3 linked regions of the Stegostoma tigrinum genome follow. The protein of the gene in region 3 interacts with the protein of the main gene of each other region in a pairwise test. Links are inferred from orthologs where the notes say so. Each region holds a gene or a part of one and is shown on either strand. Other genes may lie near its edges.

Region 1 (7,972 bases), on a different chromosome or scaffold from region 3:
CAAAGTTTCTATAAGGTCACTTTATTTTCCACACTGGAGATTAATTTGGCCAGGCTATCTCCACTTGTCTTTCTCAAAAGAAACTGGCCCAGATCTCCCAGAGAAACATTATCCCAGAAACCAACTAAGCTTCTGAAACAGAGAACTTTCAAATAAACACAATATTATTATTTCTGATGTATCAAAAGATAACCAACCTCAGCTTGAGGTTTAAACCTTATAGCTCAAAGCCAACCAATGGACTCTAAATGACATATTCTTCCATCTTTCTTTGTACTTGACAGCATCCCATTTGGCTTTCTACGGTGGGAGTGTCCAATTGACTGCACACAGGCCAAGTACTTAAGGCCTTGCCATTGCTGTTCTTCTCCGGTTTTGGAAGTAATACATTTTCTTCCTTTAACTCAAGAAAATCTTCTGATTTTCTCCTTACTGCATAAAGTAAAAAGTAATTAAATGCAACTTTATTGGAGAAAGTTTTAACCTGGCAGTAAAGAGAACCAATATCTCTGTTGTGGTTATGAGAAGGGTGAACAGATGTGAGCCAGCTCCCCCCTCCACTTCTCATCCAGCTGTAAGTTCAATACCCCATAGGAATGATAACACAAGATAATACTTCATACTGTACCCTCAATGCAGTGATGAAATATCAGCCTTGATTGTCTGTTCAAACCTGTTCTACAGAGTGGTGCTTCAGCTCACAGCCACTGCCTCAAAGGAGAGTGTTCCACTAAGCTAATTCTCAAATTGGTTCCAAATGATGCTCCAGCAGTCATGGAAAAAAATCTGTAATCATTTTCTAAAATTGAAGGATAGTTCCTGCCAAAAGCATGAGGAAGAAAATATTTGAATAACTTAATTTGCTGGACTTACTTGTTTCTAACGACAGTGCTGAAAAAAAATTACAGCTTTATGGCTTTTTGATGTTTTACTCACACCTTGTCGCTTTTAATTTTTTTTAATTTAGTGGATACTTGATTATAAAAAGTTTAACAGTTAAATTGGTATTGCACCTCAAAAGCACACCCCTTTGGGAATACTGCTCCTCTAAATGGTGTGATGTTATAAATTCACACTAGACACAACATCTAGTTTACAGATGTACAGTATAAATTAGATTTTAAAAAATCTTGGAGATTCTGATTTTATACACCAATTCCACATCCTGAGTTATGAATTTATAGAAAAAAGTTCCAACAAGCTGTTTTCAGAATGCACATATTGGAGTTTTTAAAAACTGGCATTATTAAATAAATGTGATAATGCGAACTGCAGATGCTGGAGAATCCAAGATAACAAAGTGTGAAGCTGGATGAACACAGCAAGCCAAGCAGCATCTCAGGAGCACAAAAGCTGACGTTTCGGACCTCGACCCGTCATCAGAGAGATCCTCTCTCTGATGACGGGTCGAGGCCCGAAACGTCAGTTTTTGTGCTCCTGAGATGCTGCTTGGCCTGCTGTGTTCATCCAGCTTCACACTTTATTATCATTATTAAGTAAATCATTGCTCTTAAAGCTGCATTCAATTAACATATGTTTGTATGATTTTTAAAAATCTAAATCAGTTTTCCTACGTCGACAACACATCCTTCCAAAGTAACCCAGTCAACATGTAGGCATATAAGGGGCAAACCTAATTCCCTCAAAGAGTGGCAGAAAATTAAAATTATTAAACTGTAACACATAACCCCAACCTACTAGCCCACATCAAATTGAATGTAGGAACATTTGGTTACCTGCAAGTAACCTGATCACCGCAAGTAAGTCAAATCATTATTAAATGGTAATGTGAAATGAATTGTAATTCATCAGGATTTCTGAACTTAAAATATCTCCATCATAGGATTACCAGGCAAAATTAAACTCATTAGTGAAACATATGAGTTGAAAGCAAGTGAAGTTCCAATTGCCCAATATAACTGAAGACTCTGTGTTTGAAGCTGCTTTTTCAGTTCTCTGAACCAAAATGTTTTATAAATGTTCTTGAGATTATAGCTGTTTTTCAGAAGTTTTTAAAGCTTTCAAATGGATTTCAGGAAAGAGAATGGCACCATGGATGTTTCAAAATTATAATTAGCTAAACATAAAGAATCCATCTGAGGAAGGGTCACTCGACCCAAAACATTAACTGATTTCTCTCCACAGATGCTGCCAAACCTGCTGAGGTTTTCCGGCGGTTTTTATTTTTGTCTCCGATTTATAGCATCTGCAGATCTTTTGATTTTTATAAAAAAATCCTTTCCAGGTGTTGATTCCCCAAGGATCCCATATAATACTCCAACCATTTTATCCAGGTTGATAATGGCCACGTAATATATGTAACTGGACTAGCAATCCAGAGTCACTAGACTCAGGTTCTGAGACTATGCATTTGAATTCCACCGTGGCAGGTGCCAAAATTCAAATTTGATTACAAAAATCAAAAATTAGTCTAATTGCAATTATGTAACAATCATTGTTTGTCATAAATACCCATCTGACTCATTAGCATCCTTTAGAGATGGGAATCTGCCATCATCACCCATTCTAGCTTACACGAGACTCCATAGCCATAACTTTTAAGTGTTCGGTGAAATTGGCTAGCAAGCCAAACAGTTCAAGGGCAGTTAGGGTTGGGCAAAAAGTGCTGGCAGAGCCAGTGATGCACAGATCCCATAAATCAATAAATAAAAAGTCTCTTTCCCAAATTTTTAAGTTAACAAAGTCCTTACTGCTGATGATACTGCTTTTCTATTGCATATAATGTGTAAAGTGTTTACTAGAGGAACCTTGCAAAGGAGCCTTTTAATAAGTATCCCATATATTGTAAACTAAGCATCAGATGGGAGTCAGTGTTGTTTTATTCTATCAATAAATTTTAAAACAGTGTACCTTCTGTAGCATATATTACATGTGATGCACTCTGGAACACAGGCCAAGCATAATTGCTAGCCAACATTTGTCACAACTGCATTGACATTGATAGCCTTCCAAATGCCCAGTGATTTTACAGTGAGCTTAGAAAAAAGTAAAATAAAAATCAACATCGGATTTAAATAAGTTATTTTAATTAGTGGTATGCTACATTTGAGTTTTCAAAGACAGCTAGAAAATGAATTTCTTGCATTAGGCAATTAAAAGTAATTTGTGCGAGGACCATTTTTTGAATTGTTCATGCAGTTTGGATATTTAAGATTCTGCACAATGCCAACTTGATCAAATCTGTGCCTGTTAAGACACATATTCTAGTCAGCTTATTTTCAGAACAGAATTACATAGAAAGGCAGCAGAAACCTGGGAGTGGTCAGGAGTATGGAATTTACTAAAGTAATTGATGAAAACAGTAAGGATCAATTTAACTTAAATATAAGTTTGTGATATATTGAAAGGGTTAGAACTAGTTGTGGGGACATAGGAGGGAGTTTGTAAGCAACATTAAGACTAGAATGCAGTAACCAGTTGGGCTGAATGAACTTAGGAGCTATACATTCTGTAGTTCTGGAATGGTTAGGGGATTTCAGCAGAAGATATGGTCAGAAATGATCAGATGTCTCAACAGATGGTGCCAGACCTGCTGATAGTTTCCAGCAACTTGTTTTTGTTTTTTTTTCACTTTTTATTTGGTAAGAACATTATTCTGGAGAATTACAAAAATTAGTTAAAAATACACATCTCATCCAAATACAGAACTCTAATAACTTGTCATCGACATTTCATTCACTTCTTTTTCATACAACTTCACACAATACAGATAAGTAACTCCTGAATATGTTTTTTTAGGACTCAAAACTGAATAAAACGAACGTACTGACAAATATGTAAAGATTGATGAAATTTGTCACTTCAGTTTGAGTACTTTGGCTAAACATTTCCATTCGAGAGTAATTATACTAATTTGTTGGGAGAGCTTTATTTTCCCCTGGAGAATAAACAATTTTTAAAAAAATTCAACATAAATAGTATCATAAAGTAAGGTTTTGGATGGCAGACACAGAACTCCACAGAAGCTGTGATAGTGTTAGGGTTTTAAGGGAAACTACTAAAAGGTTTCCAGTATCATTTTTAAATCTCTACCTCCTTACAGCATTTCTGCATTGTTAAACAATGTGCTTAGAAAATATTAAGTCAATACAGCACTTTTCTCTGCCCAGTTTAGTGCCTTCCGCGCCCATAAGAACATAGAACAATGCCCACGATAGCCCACGATGTTGTGCCGACCTATTACCCTAGACTAAGATGAAACTACTCTACGTTCTACTATAAGTAATAGCAGAACCAACAACTGCAGCAGAACTTCAGTTATCATAATGTTTCTGTATTTGTGTATGAAATCTGTTCTGCCTCGGCTGTAGCACGAAATCCTGCTATCTGTGTTACCTGTGCTGCAGTGCCACCAATCCGAGGGCGATAACGTGGGGCACGTCCAAGTGAGTCGGCCACTCGCCAGCAGCGACACAGCCAAACACGCCACACTCCTCCCGGATCCCCGATTCTTCAAACTCCATGCCAGTTCCACACTAACTACCCCAACGAAAAGTGAGTGAACAAAACCCCAGCCCACCCACTACCAGGCTAACTATTTCAAAGTAATACACTCACTCCCCGCTCCTCATTATCTAGCTCGTATTCTTTTTCTCCCTAGCTCCCAGGAGTCAACACGTGCCTCACTAAACCCGCCACCACCCCCACATGTCACGGACCTCTCCAAAACGTTGAGGGTGTGCAAATTAATTAGATAAATGCATGTAAATAATTTTTCGTTGTTTTTAGAACTTATCATATGTGAACGTTAGAAACTGATGATCAATTTGTAATATGTATAATACATACATATATATTTATATATATACGCCGTCCCTTCTTTATGCAAACGTGTTCCTTTCATTGCAGACTCTTCACCACCCCCCTTATCCCTCTCGTCTTGGTACATCTCATTCAAATTTCGGAACGTTCTAAAACCGAACGCGCGGCTGTTAGAAGCACGAGATCGTGAGAGGGGCCTACGGTAGGAGATTCTGGCCTGGTGTGTGGGTACATAGCTATGAGGTCCTCGGGGTAGCGAAATATGGAGACAGTAGCGGACGTGTGCGGGGTAGAGGAGGAAGTGGGGTATCTGTGGAGGGTGGGCAAACTCTCGCTGGGGAAAGGCATCATTGAGGTGTACCCCGGGGTTGGTGGAGAGGGAGGCTTGGCGTGCATTCCGTGGAAAGCACATTGCGGCCTGTTGTGTGTTATGTTTTTCTTCTTTAAAGAATTTAAATACTTTTTTTGTTTTAAAGTTGTAGATTTGCAAAGTTTTCCCAAGATGGAGAAGTTTGGAGGTAAGTAAAATTTCCAAGCTCCCTCTTGGATTAACCGCGACCGCTTTTACTTGACGGCTCTACCACAGTATTTACGGTGCTAAAATCTCGCAAAGAGACAGTTTCGAAACTGTACCGCATGAAAGAAAACGACCAGTACACCCTCGGTTGGAATTGTATTGTTGCTATTCATCTGTCAGTGCTTCCGAGATGAATTTCTTTTGTTGAACCTCAGTAACATGTTATGACATTCAGCCTTGTGATTTTTTTTCTTTTAAAAAATTGCTTTTTTTTCTGGTTTTAAACCAGTCAACAATTTAAAAATGTTCAGTGGCTTTAAAAGTGAATGATTTCACGTTTTAAATAATCCTTTTATTTTCCGAAGAGCTGAAAATTGGAAAAAAACTAAATGAAGGAAAAACCAAGGAAGTATACGAACTGTTGGATTGTCCCGGGCAAGTTCTGATTCAGTCCAAGGACCAGATTACGGCTGGAAATGCAGTCAGGAAAGACCAGATGGTGGGCAAGGCTGCGATATCTACTAAAACCACTGTTTCTATCTTCAAACTGCTGCAGGATGCTGGTAAGACTTCTGCTACTGACATCGGGCAGGATATGTGCATCTTCTGTAATATTTGTGTTCATGCTTTTTTCTTTTTAAGGCATCAAAACTGCGTTTGAGAAACAATATGGGGAAACAGCATTTGTGGCAGCAAACTGTGAAATGATTCCTATTGAGTGGGTTTGTAGAAGAATTGCCACAGGCTCTTTTCTGAAAAGAAATCCTGGTGTAAAGGAAGGATACAAGTTCTGTCCTCCAAAGATGGAGATGTTCTTTAAGGTAGTGTAACATGTTTGCTGCTATTAGTTTTGATGTGGTTGAGGTGTTAATAACCATTTTCTAGTTGTGTAAACAAAACTTTGCTTTTCCATCCATCTTTAATATCCCTTTGAAATCACTAATCATTTCAGCTTCTGTACTTTTTCAGCTGGGGTCTTGTGTCAAAACTCTGTCTGCCATATTACATACAGTGGGTCAAGAACCACCGCTTTGGGCTTCATCCTGTCCACTAACATGACAAACTCTTCAGGTGGTTGCACAATGATGCAGAGTTGGGGGGGGGGGGGGGGAGCGGTGCGGTGAAGAAGAGAAAGAGAGTTGCCTTTTTGGAATCTGAATATTGGCAGTGAACTTGAAGTCTCATGGCATCTGGACAAACACTGATTTGGAAAATGTTAGGATGACCAGCATTGTGGAGCCCCTGGCTCAGTCTGTGTTCCTCAATTTTGAACACTTTGAAAGAACTAATGAGGGTGGTAAGGGCAGAAAATGTATTTTGGTTGGGAGCTGTCATATTCAAGGGCAAGATTGGCAAGTCTGCAGCTTAATGAACCAATGAAGGGGAAGAAAACTATTTTTAACTTCCTCATTAAATGTTAATTTTGTCATGTATCAATCCATAATGGTATTTTTGAGTGACATCAAAATGTCATCTGAGACAAAGTCCTGTCATCGTGTTTGAGGATACTGTCCAACATGTTGTATGATACCAACACTGTGTGCTAAAAGGAACAAAAACAGAAGGTGCTGGAAAAGCTGAGAGTCAGGCAGCATCTGAAGAAAACAGCAAAGTTAATGTTTCAGAGCTGGTGACCTTTCCTTTTAGAACCCTAAAAGGGAACTTGGAACACTTGGGCAACTTCATACTGAGCACACGTGAGCCCATCAGGAGAATTGTGGTGGAATACAGTCTGTAACCTCATGACCACAATGTACCTGTATCCTACCATTTTCATTCAACCTGGCTCAGTGGTGTGTGCGTGCGTGTCCTTATGAAAGAAAAAGATTTTTAATCTGGAGCTGCAACACAAGGCTAGTTGCATATGAAGCAGACTGGAGTAAACAGCTTTTTCTTTGCAACAAACTGATCAAGTGTCAGCTAGCATTCCTGCCAATTCCCCCCTCAAATGATTCTGAGCAGTTAAATGACTAACAAGCTCCCTAAATGTCCCCATTCTCAATGATGGGGAAGCCTCAGCTGCCTTCTAATGGCTGAAGATTAGCATCTTTTGATATGGGAGACATATCTAGCACAAAGGAGGATGGTTGGGGTTGTGTGAGTTTAAAGACTTCACTGCAGAAGTTGTTTCCTCTGGTGTCCCAGCCCTAACCATCTTTGGTTACTCCCAGCAGTGACCTTCCCTCCATCACAAAATCAAATGTGCAAACTTTCCAAAATGTTTAATGCCATTCAGGACTCTTCTGATACTGAACAGTCCATGTACACTTGCATCACAAATTGGATAACCTCCAGCCTTGAGCTGATAAGTGGCAAGTAACATTTGCACCATGCACAGCTATCAACCAGAGAATCTGATGTTGTTGATCCTTGATGTTCATACCATTGCTGAATTTCTTTCCCCACTTAATACCACCGCCACTGTCTCCTCCCCAGCTTCTCCCACCGCCACTGTCTCCTCCCCAGCTTCTTTCCTCTTCTCCTCTCCCCCCCCCCCCCCCCCCCAAATTCAGGGTTAGAGGTGACCAGAAAATAAATGGGACCACCTGCTAGCCAAAGAGCAGGCTAATACCTATTTATTTTGTATTGAATAACTCCACTTTTGACACATGCGTGGCTACCACCTTCAAGCTGTGAGTCAGGAGCATGATGGAAAGCTTGCCTAGCTAAGTG
Region 2 (7,957 bases), on a different chromosome or scaffold from region 3:
CACCGAGATCTCTCTGCTCATCGACACTACTAAAAATCTTACCATTAGCCCTGTACTTTGCTTTCCGGTTACTCTTACCAAAGTGCATCACCTCACACTCGTCTGCATTAAAGTCCATTTGCCACCTCTCAGCCCAGCTCTGCAGCTTATCTATGTCTCTCTGCAACCTACAGCATCCTTCGTCACTATCCACAACTCCACCGACCTTAGTGTCGTCTGCAAATTTACTAACCCATCCTTCTATGCCCTCATCCAGGTCATTTATAAAAATGACAAACAACAGTGGACCCAACACCGACCCTTGTGGTACACCACAGGTAACTGGTCTCCAGGATGAACATTTCCCATCAACTACCACCCTCTGTCTTCTTTCAGCAAGCCAACTTCCGATCCAATTCATCTAATTCTGCTCTCTTCAGCCACAGTATTCGAATTAGAAGAGCAAACCAGGCATTTTTTGACATTACTCAGAGGAGGTTGTCATCACTTGTCCCTTGACTGAAGGGACACTAGTTTGGAGATTGGTTGACATCCTCTAAACTAACCATGCAAATAAAAATCAGCATGAAACCAGAGAGAGCACATGCTGTCGAAAGGACAGTACACCCAATCACCCAGCATGTGTAAAAAGCCAGCTGCTGGTTAACCTGTCATATCAAAGAAATAAACATTGGTAAATTCTAATGACGTTGCAGGGTTCTCCAGATTACTTGCTCGATACAGTTGATGGAAACACATGAGAAGATTGACACCAAAACCGTAGCCTCCCTGTTACCTTTCTCAGTGCCTATTTTAAACAATCCAGTAATCTTGGGTTGCCAAAAGCGTCACCAATATGAAAAGAGTTCTACAAGTGCCCTATTTAGGAGGTGTCACCAAGTATATCAATTTATAAGTCTAATGAATGAGAAGGAAACAGCATTAATCTATAACAGCCATTTAGTATCCTTACCTCTGAGCCAGAACCCAGGTTCAAGGCCCATGTACTCCAGAGGCATGCAATAACATCTCCAAACAGCTTGATTAGAAAATATCTATACTGACCACTAGTATCAATTATGTACTCGACACACAACATGGTGTTCACCAGAAATCAAACAGGAATGACAAGGTTACTGTAGTTGAGGAAATGTTTGAAATGTAAACAATGCAGTAATATGCAATTTGGCTGCACTGGGCACACAATGTGCTTTTCTAAACAATGGCTGACACCAATTAAAATTGGTGGTAAGAACAGATAAGTTGACCTTTGGAATCCCTGATTGTTCAACCATTCAACAATTTCAAGGCAGAAATTGGAAGGAATGAAATAAAGGAATATGGAAATAATGGGGTAAAATTTTGCAGAGACAGCCATTATCTGTGTTAACATTTTGGTACAGCTATCTAATTTGTACCACAATCTTCACCCCCGGGCTAGACTTATTTTACCTATTACATATAATCCTCTTGTGAAAATATTCAATCTTTGTAAGTTCTTTGGTTACCAACCTAGAGTCACAATCAAAACCATTCATTATTCTAAAATTTTCATCGCATTGCCCTTTTTTGTTGCTTATGTGCATTCTAAACAGCAATATTTTTAAGAGATTGCCAGAATCTCACTTAAGATAGTAAACGAGCTGTCAATATCAGCAAAATAGGAAATGTGGACACAGACAGCGTGTTCTGATTTAGATTTTGGTAAAGAACTTCCTTAGCCCAAATGGGTGTTAACAGGTGAGTGTTCTTGAGCACATCCACAGCCAAAACATACTAGTTTCTGACAGAATCAATCTGAACTTCTGACAAAGTTGTACTTAACTGTTATCTTGTTTATCTCTCCTGTGACATGGCCTCTGGTGTCCCACAAGGGTTCAACCTGAGCCTCATGGCAACACCATCTGAAGACATACCATTAGTTTTCACATGCATGCTATTCTCCTAGATTTTCCACTGTTGTTAACCTGTCAGACTTATCCCATATCAATCATATGGAGATGCTAGTGTTGGACTGAGTGGACTAGGTCAGAAGATACAGTTCACAAGGTTTAGTCCAACAGGCTTATTTGAAGTCACAAGCTTTTGGAACACTGCTCGTTCATCATCCTTTGTTACTCACTTCGCCTGCTGAAGCAGCACTTCAAAAGCTTGTGATTTCATATAAACCTGTTGGACTATAAAGGGTGTCATGTGACTTCTGGCTTTATCCAATATCCAGCACTGGGGTGAGTAGTTGTTTCTTTAATTGGTCAAGGAACTGTTTCAGTCTAAACATTTGGGGTCAATAAATTCCACCAAATAAGCTCCCAACTGCAGTTTGATATCATTGTGGGTCCCTATACATCCTGTGTTCACCAACCTATACCAGACTCCCAGTCAAGCAATCTCAATTTTAAAAATTCTCATTCTGCTTACAAATTCCTCCATGGTTTTTCCCCTCATCTCTGCAGCATCCTCTAGTCCCACACAAATATCTGTGCTGCACTCCCCCAACCCCCCAATCTTCAGTATCTCAATTTCAATGGTTCAACCATTCATGCCTACAGTTTCAGCTGCTTAGGCCCTCTCACCCCATCTTCCCTCTCAAGATCCCTTTTGTCAGTTATGACACTCCCTAAAACATTTCTTTTGACTAAGACTTGGTCACTCATACCGTTATCACATGCCATCTGATTTCAATTACATTAAAAAATGTTAAAGGCTTAATTGTTATTAACCTTGCTCCAAGACAAACAAGGAAAGTCCATGAATTTCATAGCCAGTCTGGCTTTCCCCTTTTTATCCTTGTCTCCTCCCAATCATCTATCCCGCACTGCACTCTCTCCAATCAACACACTGCTCTATCCAGCTCCATTGTTAGCCAATTATCAGTCCAGAGTCTTCCCCTAACCCAATCACGCTCTCCCACTTCCTGACCGCCCTCCCTCCACCCCACTCACAATTCCCACTTCCCCTCCAGTCACAACCTCCCAACCCTCCCTAACACCTTTCACACTTCCTGGTACCCACCCTGGCCTACCTCAGGGACACCTCCCTCTTTCTCCATCCTCCTGCCGCCATTAGAGTCGCCGGAGGGCGAAAGACAAGGCTGTCTCCTCTCCCTCCCCTCATGCAGTGATTTAAACTATGCCCCTCCCTACAGTGTCGCTGTGGCAACGAGCCGTCCCTGCCCGAGAGAGACTGGTCATCGACCCCACATGATGTTCTCTCCATGGCCGGGTCCTGCCCGACCGTCTCCCGGTCCCTCTGACGGTGATGGTGTATCTCTCTCCCTCCCTCCCGGTCCCAGCTGTCAATCCCCGCTTCCCCGTTCCTATTTACCCAGTCCTTACAACAGTCCCCAGCCTCTATGGTTCGGGCTCCTATACACCCGGAGATAGTGTCAGTCACCGACCGGTCCCAATATCGACCCCCGCCCCTACCTTGAAGGTTCTCAAGCCAGTTCCCTTCGCCTCTGCTGCTCGGGCCCTGACAGCAGGGGCGGGGCACCACGTCCTTGACGTCAACGGGTCCAGCCCGAGCACCAATCAGAGCTCCTCCCCCGCCTCGTTTCCCCTATCTAACCAATCATAACTGTGTCTCCATCTGATGGACATAGATAACGACCAATCCACAATGGACAAAGGACGGCCAATGGGAGCGGACACCGCCCATGCGGCGTTTTCGCCAATAGTAATCAGTAAACGTTATGATTGACATGCATCTCCAGCCAATCCTGTGTGGGCCTCTGTGAGGCTGCTGTTGTGGTGCTGATGTTGGAGACAAGAGAGTAAAGGGAGAAAGATGAGTAAGGGGAGAGAGAGAGCGGGAGAGCGGGAGGGAGGAGAGATGGGGAGGTGGGTGAAGAGAGAGAGAGACAGGGAGAGACGTAGCTATGGGGAGAAGGAGAACATAGAACATTACAGCACAGTACAGGCCCTTCGGCCCTCGATGTTGTGCCGACCTGTCATACTGATCTCAAGCCCATGTAACCTACACAGAGTTAGAGAGAGACATGGTGGAGAAATGCAGGTGTGAAAGAGAGGGGTTAGTGGGAGAGCGCGGGATTGAGACAGTGAGTAAAAATGGGGAGCGAGGAAAAGAAGGACGATAGAGAGAAAGGAACGTGGATCGTGACAAGATTTCATATACCACAATGACAGATGGTGAAGGCTAAATTCAGTCAAAATGTGGAATAAAAGAAAAACTAGCCGAAAGGTGAGAGTGTCACAACTGTCAATTGTCATAAGAATCTATTTGGTTCATTCATGTACTGTGGGAATGGAAATCTAACATCCTTTCCTCATGTGATTCCAGACTGTCAGAAAAAAGGGCCAGAAAAATGAGGGGGACGCATAGGTCTAGTGGTATTATTGCTGGACTATTAATCCAGAGACTCAGGTAATGTTCTGGGTGACCCAGGTTCAAATCCTGCCACAGCAGAATTCAATAAATATCTGGAACTAAAGAGTCTAATGATGACCATGAGTTCATTTGCGATTGTCAGGAAAACCCATCTGGTTCACCGGTGTCCTTTAAGAAAGGAAACTGCCGTCCTTACCTGTTCTGGCCCAGATGTGACTCCAGACCCACAGCAATGTGGTTGACTCCTAACTTCCCTTTGGACAATTAGGGATGCACAATCAATGCTGGCCAGCAATGCCCTCAGCCTGTGATTGAATAAAGACATTAAACAAAGGGATAGGCAATAAATAATGGTCCAGGCATTCACACCCATATCCCGTCAATGAATATGACAACTGTTCTCAGCAACTAGGAAACAGCTATAACTGCAGAGTAAATACAGTGTGGAATGGGAGGAACACACCAGGTCAGGCTGCATCAGAGGAGCAGGAAAATCGACATTTCGTGTTGGAACCCTTCATCAGGCTGTTCTCTGACAACACTCATAATTCCTTTGATTTTGAGTGGTGTTCTTGTGCTATGCTGTTCTTTGTGAGGAAAATTGTAGGTTCATTCTCATCGACCAAGGAGATGTTTCAAATAATGAGTGGTAATAGTGACTCAGTGGTTTGTACTGCTGCCTCACAGTACCAGGGACCTAGTTTCGATTCCAGCCTCAGGTGTGGAGCCTTCACATTCTCCCTGTGCCTCTGTGGGTTTCCTGCAGGTGCTCCAGTTTCTTTCCACAGTCCAAAGATATGCAGCCTAGCTGCATTGGCCATGCTAAATTGCCCATTGCATCTAGGATGGAAATGCAGGAATAAGATAGAGGGTGGGTCAGTGTGGACTTGATGGGCCAAATGGCCTGCTTAATCACTGTAGGGATAATACAATAACACTCACATTGGTACCAAGTTTGATATCAGTTGAAGATCATTAGCATCTATGATCTAAAATAATATCTGATTCAGATTTCTTAAGCATAGTTTTGTTGCATCATTCAAAAGTGGTATATCATCATAGAAGGGAATGCATTCTAACAGAGGTGTGTCTGGTTCATCTGGGTTTTCTTCCAAAGATGTTCTCTTGTGTAAGGTGTTAACCACTTTGTACAAGTAAGCACTGTTAGATATCTGATGTTTTTAACTTTGCACATTCTCTGAAATTGGCCCACTTTCTTACAAGAGTTGCATTGGTATGATTAAAGCAGATATTGTTTTATCTGTGTCATGATTTAACTCTGCATCTCAAACTGTGAGATCTAGCATCAAATTATTTAAGTACTTTTGTGCTGAACGATCATGTAATGTTTTGGTGTTTTTGTACTTTAGAAAGTTGACAATGTCTGATGAGCTCCTTAAACGAGGTTGACTTTCTGTTCCTGTTCATCACTTGTGCTGTTTTCAGATTTAAGCTGCAACTATGACTTGGATAGTTCTTTCTAATGTGAGTTCCTTTTTCGATTGTAACATATCTGAAAGAAACCAATCAGAAACTCTGACGACAATTCTGTCTCAATCAGTACTAATTGTAAATAACAATAAAATTCACAAAGATCATTAACAAAGTAGTCAACAGGTATTCCCGGAAGCTGTATTTTTCTAGTAAATCTGCAATGTTATCAAAAGTAACTTTCTTCTCTTCCACTTTATCATTTTAAAACATGATCTGCTATTGGACCTAGGGAATAAAAAAGTACCTGCTTGGTACTATTCTTTTTTGGCCTTCTAGAATTCTAAAGTAACTCAGTACCTCACAAATTGCTTCTTTCATGCATCCAGTTTGATTTTCTGTCTGAAGTACGGAGATTGATTTGTGACAGATAGTATAATTATGATTTGCCCATAAAGAATTGGCAGACCAATTTAATATGCATTTTGGTTGTGTTTTTCCAAGGGAGGACTCAAATAAAGTTGCAAACCTGAGCTACAAATCTTCTCAAAACTCGCTAGTTTCAAAAACATTGAGAAACACACGATCCAGTGAGAGAGAAGATCTGAAGGAAATCAATATTAGGAGGGAAATGGAGTTGAGGAAATTAATGGGATTACATGCCAACATATCATCAGGACCTGATAATCCTGAATTACTTAAGGTAGTGGCCCTAGAAAGTGGGGATGCTTTGGTGGTCATCTTTCAAGACTCCATAGATTCCATAGACTGGAGTGTTAGCCTGATATTGGTGGTAGAGAAAATGTTAGAGTCGATTGTAAAAGATTTAACAGCAGAGCACTTAGACAACTGTAACAGGATTGGACAGAGTCAGTATGGATTTATGAAAAGGAAATCGTGCTTGACAAATCATTTGCAATTTTTTTGAAGATCAATTTAAACGGCTACAGATGTAGGACAGGAGAATGGGACTAGCTAGGTTGCTCTTCCAGGAACCTGTACAGTCATGACGGACCAAGTAGCCTCCTTCTGTATAGTAATACTCTATGATTCTATGTAATGTGTCAAGTTGCTAAGGGAAGGGCAGTACTTACTTGGATTTTTAGAAGATATTTGCTGAGTCCTACAAAAGAGACTAGCATATTAAATTAAAGCACATGGGTTGGGAGTTAGTGTACTGATAGGAGTAGAGAACAAGTTGAAAGACAGGCAATAAAGAGTAGAAATGAATGGATCTCTTTTCTGAGTGGCAAACAGTGATTACTGGACTGCTGTAGGTGTTAGTGCTAGGGCACCAGCTATACACAATGTTCATCAATGATTAGATGAGGAAACTGAATATCTTACCTCCAAGTAAAGCTATGTGGGAGGATGAAATGTTAGGAGGATGCACATATGCTTCAATATGATTTGGATAAATCATATGAGTGGGCAGATGAAGTATAATGTTGATAGCGTTGAGAGGAGAATTTATAACAATACCTCGTATAGTGTTGAGAGGAGAATTTATAACAAGACCTCGTACACCTCTCACTGAAAATAAGCAGTTAGGTGTAGCAAGTGGTGAAGATGGCAAATGGTAAGTTAGTTTCATAGCATGAGGACTTGAGTATAAGTGTAAGGATGTCTTGTTGTAATTGTGCAGCACTTTGGTGAGATTATTGTGTGTAGCTTTGGTCTCCTTTCCTAAGGAAGGATATTCTGGCTATGGACAGATTGCAATGAAGGTTTACCAGCCTGAATCCTGGAATGGAAAGACTGATGAATGAAGAGAGACTCAAATATTTAGGACTATGTTCACAGGAGTTTAGAAGAATGACGGGAGATTTCATAAATAGGGTAAACGTAGAAAAGACGATCCTGATGACTGGGTTTTCACAACAAGGGGTCACAGTCTAAGGATTCAGAGTAGGTCATTAAGGACTGAGATAAGGAGTAATTTCTTCACCCAGAGAGTGGTGAGCGTGAACTTCTCCACCACAGAAAGTGGTTGATACATGCAAATACTTCTGCCAGCTAGTCCACACAGATTCTAAGTGCATGGCTGGGGTCTCTGTGTGGTCCAGTCGCTTTCCATGGGAATACTGTCAAGAAGGCCGATCTAACGTCTCTAGAGGTGAAGGTGGGTACAAGGGTATCCGAGGCTTTTGGGATACGTGACATAGTTTCACTGAACTCCTGTTCAAAGTGAGTGTAGTAT
Region 3 (8,026 bases):
AACAACTCCAGATGAGACATTCCATGCCCTTGTGAATATAAATTACTGCTCTGCCATTTCAGGACAAAAATATCAAAGAGATTGCAATGGTTTCATGACCATTCTCAGAACTTCTCAGGGGAGGGCAATACAAGGGACTTTGGTGCGTCCAGGGAATACTGTTGGGAAAAGCACAGTGTCCACGACAAAGTGGGATCTATCCCTAAAGAACCAGAACTTCACGCTCTAGCACATAAAGTCCAGTCTCCTGGAACCCCACACAGTCACTGACAAGGACAAGTATATGAGTGGACAAACAACACCATTCTGCCTGTCTAAATGAATGAGCAAAACCACTTGGCCAATTTGAACATTTCCTTCACATATTTTAGCGCATATAGAGGACGCTGGCTGGCCCATCAACCCTGTGCTGGATTTCTAGTGAATCTAGCCGTACAGCCTTACAAACATTTTCCCTTCATGTCATACAGTTTTACAGCATGGAAAGAGAACACTTGGTCCAACTCTACCATGCCGACCATAATCCAAACCAAGCCAGTCCCATTTGCCAGCGATTAGCTCATATCCCTCTGTACCTTTCCTATTCATGTACTTTTCCAAATGTCTTTGAAATGTTATAGCTGTGCCCACATCCACCAGTTCCTCAGAAAGTTCATTCCACACACGAGTGGCTGCACTTTGTCCTAAAGACCACACCCTACCTAAGGGGAAGGAGCTTTTCCCACTCCCTTTATTAAAAAAATTGCTCTTTGTGTCCCTTTTCAATATTTCTCCTCTCACCTTAAAATATGTCCTGTAGTTTTGAAATCCCCCACTCTCGGGAAAAGATACCTGCTATTCACTTTATCTGTATCGCTGGTCATTTTATAAACCTCAAAAAGGTCACCCCTCAACCGCCTCTACTCCAGTGAAAAAAAGTCCCAGTCTATCCAGCCTCTCCTTACAACTGAAACGCTCCATACCTGGCAACATCCTGGTAAATCTTTTCTGAATCCTCTCCAGCTTAATAGTATCCTTCCTATAACAGAATACATACCAGAACTGGACACAGTACTCCAGATGATGCCTCACCAATGTTCTGTACAACCTCAACATGACGTCCCAACTCTAATACTCAAAGGTCTGAGCAACGGAGGCAAGCGTGATAAACGCCTCTTAACCACCCTGTCTAATGTGATACAAACTTCAAATAATTATGCACCTGAACTCCTACGTCTCTCTGTTCTATAGCACTACCCCTAAGGCCCTACTTTTAATTGTATAAGTCCTCCTCCAATTCTCTTTTGATTGCTACTACTGAATCTGCTTCCACACGGCCCCCCTCAAGGTCTCGCAAGCTGCTGCACATCAGTACCTTTGCTTGTGCTTAGTTACTGCCACTGAAGATATATCTCTCATCCAAAATAATACTTCATGATTATCAACATCACGAATGAAGTCAACAGTCTCTCCACATAACTGAACTCCCAACCAGCAGATATATGGGAGCACCACCATCTTCAATTTCCCCTCCAAGCCACTCACCATCCTGAACTTAGAAATATATCGCCGTTCCTCCACTGGGTCAAAATCCTGGAATTTCCTCCCTAAACGGCATCGTGGGTCAACCCACTGCAGACGGACTGCAGCAGTTCAAGAAGGCAGTTCACCACCACCTTCTCAATGGCCACTCGGGATGGGCGATAAACACTGGCCAGCCTGATTTGTCCACAGAAGCCAGATACCATACTTGTCAGTCTCTTCTGATGCCTGTGCAAGTCCTCCATATCTTTCCAAACGCATGGGTACACACTGCCTCTAAACATAGCAACATTGTTTTTGAACTTCTTCTGTTGATAAATTGCAGGGTTGTTAAAGCTGTTATGAAGAAAATATTCATCCTGAATGTTTAATCACCTCTGCCCTGTGTCTTTAGAAAGTCCATATATACTTGCAGCACCCTCAATCTCCCCACCAGTTGACCAAAGAACACTCAAGTTTATCACATACTTTTGCCTTTTAACAAATCAACACTAACTGTAATTTATTTTCCATTTGTTCCCACAAGATGCTGTCTGGATGTACCCTCTTGCCCGAAGCAGAATTCTTGTAGATTCAAGTCCCACTCAATAAGGACTTAAACTCAAAAATCCATGCAACATGGACTCCAGTTCAGTACTGAGGGACACACTGTCACTCCTAAGAGATGTTAATACAGAGGAGCCCTGACTGAGTCTTACATCGATTTTGACGCAGGGCCAGGAAACCGTTCCTGTTGCGTCAAGATAAACAAGACATCACAGAAGTGCGACAGTGCAGAAGAAATAACAAATTCATGAGAATGAGTTACACATAGGCATCTACTGGAGGGATGGATGGGCTAATGGGCTGAGATAACAAGGTGTAGAGGTAGATGAGCACAGCAGGCCAAGCTGCATCAGAGGAGCAGGAAGGCTGACGTTTCGGGCCTAGACCCTTCCTCGGGCCGAGAAGTGGCTGATGGAGATAAATGTAGGTGTTGCTTTTGGGTAAGGCAAATCAGGGCAGGACTGAAATGCTTGGGGAGTGTTGTCGAACAAAGAGGAGCAGGTTCAGAGTTCATTGAAAGTAGACTGGCAAGCAGACAGGGTGGTGAAGAAAGCATTTGGCACTTGACTTTATTGGTCAGTGCATTACGTACAAAATTTGGGAGGTCACGTTGTGGCCGTACAGGACATTGATGAGGCCACTTTTAGAATACCGCATTCAATTCTCGTCGTTTTTCAAAGGCAGGGGATTCCGAAACCAAACGGCAAAGATTTAAGGTGAGAGGGGAGAAGATTGAAAAGGGACCTGAGGGGCAACTTTTTCATACAGAAGTTGGTGCGTGTATGGAATGAGCTGCCAGAGGAAGCAGTGGAGGCTGGTACAATTACAGTATGTTAAAAGCATCTGGATGGGTATATGGCGAGGAAGGGTCTAGAGGGATATGGACCAAATAATGGCAAACAGGACGAGGTCAGACTGGGATGGGTCTGGTCGGTGCGGACCAAAGGGTCTGTTTCTGTTCTGTACATCTCTAATGGCTCACTTTCTCTTTCCATTCTCCATGTGTTCAGGGTCAACCACATGGCTGTGGTTCTGGGTGTATGTAGAGGTGGGACTAGGCCTGCCCTCTGGAAGAGACTTGGAGCAAAGGGACGCCACCACAGAGTGATAGGGGGAGGGGTGTAGTCACACATTCGAGACGGCCGTGAGGAGGAATTTCCTCTCTCAGAGGGAGGTTGTTTGCCGCAGAGGGCTGACGCAGAGAGAGATGTGCTTTAAATCAGGAAGGAAATCCAGGGAAAAGGTAGCGAATTGGAATTTGAGGCTGATCAGGTCCGGGACTCGATGGGCTGAATGGCCTCCTGCTGTTCTGATGGTGATGTGTGTGCGAGTGCAATGACACGGCCAGCACCACATCCCCCTCCTGCGGCCTGCTGGTCCAGCTCTCACCGGCTGCCAGCATCCACCTCCACCCCCCCCCTTCTTCACTCTGACCCGACTGTCGGTCCATGGCGACCGCGCGGCGCTTCGCGCTCTCCCCGCCCCAATCCCGTTCTCGTTCTCCTCCCATCAACTGACCATTCCGTCCAGCGCCGGGCCTCCACCAGACCGACTAGGCCCCGTCGCCAAGGCGACACCGCACGCTCCCGGCCCTGCTTCCTTCCTCCTTGCAAACTGCTCTTCACCCGGGCTGCGGCATGACGCCACTGCGTCCGTGCCCCCTGCCCGACGCGGCATCTCTTTCCTGATTGGTCTGGGTAGCTGCCCGTCATTACCCGGAGATGGGGCTAGGGGCGGGGCTGAAACGCTCACCTGAAGATTGGAAGCTGAATTTCCTTGATCACTGAAGTGTTCCCGACTGGGAGGGAGCATTCCTGTCTGGCGATTGTTTTGCAGTGTCCATTCATCCGTTGTTGTAGCATCTGCATAGTCTTGCCTCGGAGCATCCTTGCCTGGAGCATATGACGTACACAACACTGGCTGAGTAACATGAATAGCTGCTGTGTATACGATGGGTGGTGTTCCCATGTGTGATAGTAGTATCCATATCAATGATCTGACGTGCCTTGCAGAGGTTGCCTTGGCAAGGTATTGTGGCGTTGTGATTGATGTTCTCCTGAAGGCTGGATAGTTTGCTGTGAATGATGGTTTGTTTAAGGTTTGGCGGTTGTTTGAGGGTGACAAGTGGAGATATAGGGAGCATCTTGGCAAGATACTCATTGTCATTGATGACATATTGAAGGCTGTGAAGTACATGGCGTAGTCTCTCCGCTCCAGGGAAGTACTGGACAATGAAGGGTGCTTTCTGAGTCTCTCCGCTCCAGGGAAGTACTGGACAATGAAGGGTGCTTTCTGAGTCTCTCCGCTCCAGGGAAGTACTGGACAATGAAGGGTGCTTTCTGAGTCTCTCCGCTCCAGGGAAGTACTGGACAATGAAGGGTGCTTTCTGAGTCTCTCCGCTCCAGGGAAGTACTGGACAATGAAGGGTGCTTTCTGAGTCTCTCCGCTCCAGGGAAGTACTGGACAATGAAGGGTGCTTTCTGAGTCTCTCCGCTCCAGGGAAGTACTGGACAATGAAGGGTGCTTTCTGAGTCTCTCCGCTCCAGGGAAGTACTGGACAATGAAGGGTGCTTTCTGAGTCTCTCCGCTCCAGGGAAGTACTGGACAATGAAGGGTGCTTTCTGAGTCTCTCCGCTCCAGGGAAGTACTGGACAATGAAGGGTGCTTTCTGAGTCTCTCCGCTCCAGGGAAGTACTGGACAATGAAGGGTGCTTTCTGAGTCTCTCCGCTCCAGGGAAGTACTGGACAATGAAGGGTGCTTTCTGAGTCTCTCCGCTCCAGGGAAGTACTGGACAATGAAGGGTGCTTTCTGAGTCTCTCCGCTCCAGGGAAGTACTGGACAATGAAGGGTGCTTTCTGAGTCTCTCCGCTCCAGGGAAGTACTGGACAATGAAGGGTGCTTTCTGAGTCTCTCCGCTCCAGGGAAGTACTGGACAATGAAGGGTGCTTTCTGAGTCTCTCCGCTCCAGGGAAGTACTGGACAATGAAGGGTGCTTTCTGAGTCTCTCCGCTCCAGGGAAGTACTGGACAATGAAGGGTGCTTTCTGAGTCTCTCCGCTCCAGGGAAGTACTGGACAATGAAGGGTGCTTTCTGAGTCTCTCCGCTCCAGGGAAGTACTGGACAATGAAGGGTGCTTTCTGAGTCGTATCCTGTGTTTGTGTTGTGAGGAGGTCATTGTGGTGTTTCACTGTGGCACGTTGGAACTGATGGTCGATGAGTTGAGCATCGTGTATCATTCTTATGAGGGCACCTTTCAAAACCTTTAGATGTCTGATTCATTCCTCCTCATCTGAGCAGATCCTGTGTATGCACGGGGTATGTCCGTAGGGGATAGCTTCTTTAATATGTTTAGGGTGGAACCTAGAGAAGTGCAGAATCACAAGGTTATCCATGGGCTTGCAGTTGAATAAGATAGAGGTATCTGTCCTTGATGGAGATGTGTGTGTCCACGAATGAGACTGATTCTGAAGAGTAATCCATTGTAAGTGTGATGGTGGGATGAAACTTGTCGATATCACAATGTAGTTGTTTCATGATTCCTCACCAAGAAAAGAAGTAATCAATTATCTGGTGTGTAACGTTGGTCGGAGATCCTGTGCGGCAAAGAAGTCTTGCTCAAAACTTGTGCGTGAAAATGTTGACACGTTGGCACGTACAGTCCCCATGTTCCATGTGTCTGGATGAAGAACAGGGTGTTGAAGGTGAAGACGTTGTGGTCAGGGATGAAACAGATGAGTTGTAGGATGGTGTCTGTTGGTATCGAGTACTGAGGCTGTTGCAGTGATGCCTTTGTCGTGGGGGATGCTGCTGTAGAGCACCAAAACATCCATTGCGACAAGGAATGTTCCTGGTTTGACTGGTGCGTAGATGCTGAGTTTCTGTAAGAAATCTGTCGTGTCGTGGCGGAAGCTGGGGGTTCCTTGTACAGTGAGATTCAAGATGCCGTCGACATAGCCAGAGAGGTTCTCATACAGGGTCCCATTGCCTGATACGATGGGACGTCCAGGTGTATTGGCTTTTGTATCTTTGGAAGGCAGCAGAACTCTCCAACATGAGAAATGCGCAGGATGATAGTGCATAGGATAATCAGACGATCTGGATCAAAGGTCTTGATCAGTCTGTTCAGTTGAAGGTTGTGTTCCGGTTTGTTGGTTGTCTGTTTGGGCTCACTGCTGACATCTCGGGGTTTGAGGAAGAATTCCCAGAGCCTCAGCCCCCTGATGAATTCCTCCGTGTCTGCCACAAGACCAGGGGGGTCCGTTTTGGTAGCGGGGCAGAAATTGAGCCCTCAGCTGAGAACTTTGATTCCGTCTGGTTGAAGGGTGTGCTCCGACAAGTCGACAATAGATTTCCGTGTGGTCAACGGGGTCTGGTGTTGAGGGTCCAGGTGTGAGGGGAATTGATGGGGTGTGGGTGGGGGCTCCGGTGTTTATGGGTGGCTCAACTGTGCAAGGGCACTGCCACTCCTGCTGCTATGCTCCCTACCCCCGCTTCCCCCCCCCTCAAATTCTGGGGCAATGGAAGGGAGCAGCAAGATCCCAGAGAAATGGTTCTGTTGCAGCCGCTTTCCTTCTTGCACTCTGGCTACGCACAGCCCACCAATTCTAAAAAAATCAATCGAACAGACCAAAGGAACTGCAGACGTTGGAAATCTGAAACAAAAACAGAAGTTGGCTGCAAAAACTTAGCAGGTCTGGCAGCCCCGGTGGAAAGAAATCAGAGTTAACTCTTCTTCAGAACTCATGGGAACTAGGAAAAGGATGTTTTTTTTAAATCCAGAAAAGTGCGTAGGTGGGCGAGGAAATGATAGCCCGAGATAGAAAAACAGTTGGGCAGGCAAAGGAGTGGATAAAAGTCAACTTGGGAGAATGAATAGTTACTAATGGGGACTGTTAGAAGCTAACGATTGGTAGTTTGATTGAGCAGACCATGTGATAACAAGGCCTGGTGTGTGGGGTTTGGGGTAAGGACACGGGAGAAGGGGCCTCAAGCCCAAAAATTGTTGAACTCGATATTGAGTGCAGAAAGCTAGAGTTCCCAAGTGGAAAATGATGTGTGCTCTTCCAGCTTGTGCTGACCTTCTCTGGAGCACTGCAGGAAGCCTGAGGCACAGATTTTGGCCAGGGAACAAGGTGATGTGTCGAAGTCAATGGGTGTGGAGCTTGAAAAGCACAGCAGGTCAGACAGCATGCGAAGAGCTCCCCACCGCAACCGCCTTGAGAAGGTGGGGTGGGGGATGGTGAGCTGTGTGACGTGGAGACATCCAGACAGTGCTGAGAGAGAGGAAGTGGGGCTCAGGACCCTGTGTTCGACATTGCGGGGAGGGTGGAGGGTGGGATGGAGGGCTGAGGGGAAACAGAGGTGAGATTCCCTCGGCGGAGTTTTGGCAAGTTCACTCGGAGGCGAGTCCTCAAGGACTTGCGGGTTGTGGCGGGGGAGGTGAAGGGTTGTGAGGATTGGAACCTTTCTCTTCCCGGATGTGGCCTCACTGAGCCTGAGGCCTGTCCTGATCACCGCCTATTGCATTAACAACGCTGATATCACTAGGAAACCTGATCGCCCCTTCTGTGTGTAAAGTGTGGAGCAACAGAGCAAAATCCAAACCACCACTGCATACTGAAAAACCATAGCCTTAAACCACCTACTGCTTCCTGACACTGAGCCATGAGTCTCTACTGCCCAGTTGCCCTTATCTCCTTGCCTTTCATCTGAAAACATCTGCTTTGAAGAACTTTGTCAAATGCATTCTGAAAGTCCATAAGAAAGCCCTTACAAATGGACATTATTTTTAGCCAACTATTTCCAACTAGATGGAGTTTAATCTGGATAAACATGAGGTATTGCATCTGGGGAAAATACACAAGAGCAGGACTTGGGCAGTGTTGTAGAACAGAGAGAGGTAGGAGCTCAGATGCTTAACTCTTTGAAGTTTGCGTCTCATGTAGACAGGATGGTTAA

What was found.
Region 1: the proteins of nudt18 (region 3) and paics interact in binary tests that used the Homo sapiens proteins (3 or more experiments, as listed by UniProt). The two-hybrid records come from large-scale screens. The link is inferred for Stegostoma tigrinum from reciprocal best matches to the Homo sapiens genes NUDT18 and PAICS.
Region 2: the proteins of nudt18 (region 3) and EVI5-like protein interact in binary tests that used the Homo sapiens proteins (3 or more experiments, as listed by UniProt). The two-hybrid records come from large-scale screens. The link is inferred for Stegostoma tigrinum from reciprocal best matches to the Homo sapiens genes NUDT18 and EVI5L.

What each region holds. Positions count from the first base shown.
Region 1 is NC_081354.1:109,761,506-109,769,477, forward strand, and holds the start of paics (multifunctional protein ADE2), read left to right. Parts: upstream 1-4,499; 5' UTR 4,500-4,515; exon of another isoform or gene 4,516-4,653; intron 4,654-4,869; 5' UTR 4,870-4,984; exon of another isoform or gene 4,985-5,002; intron 5,003-5,258; 5' UTR 5,259-5,284; coding exon 5,285-5,300; intron 5,301-5,664; coding exon 5,665-5,862; intron 5,863-5,941; coding exon 5,942-6,120; intron 6,121-7,972. Other genes in the region: ppat (amidophosphoribosyltransferase), read right to left, coding at 4,357-4,484. UniProt on the Homo sapiens protein: Bifunctional phosphoribosylaminoimidazole carboxylase and phosphoribosylaminoimidazole succinocarboxamide synthetase catalyzing two reactions of the de novo purine biosynthetic pathway.
Region 2 is NC_081388.1:1,813,615-1,821,571, forward strand, and holds the start of EVI5-like protein, read right to left. Parts: upstream 3,474-7,957; 5' UTR 3,405-3,473; intron 1-3,404. UniProt on the Homo sapiens protein: Functions as a GTPase-activating protein (GAP) with a broad specificity.
Region 3 is NC_081393.1:15,506,350-15,514,375, reverse strand, and holds the start of nudt18 (8-oxo-dGDP phosphatase NUDT18), read right to left. Parts: upstream 3,705-8,026; 5' UTR 3,586-3,704; intron 1-3,585. UniProt on the Homo sapiens protein: Mediates the hydrolysis of oxidized nucleoside diphosphate derivatives. Hydrolyzes 8-oxo-7,8-dihydroguanine (8-oxo-Gua)-containing deoxyribo- and ribonucleoside diphosphates to the monophosphates. Hydrolyzes 8-oxo-dGDP and 8-oxo-GDP with the same efficiencies.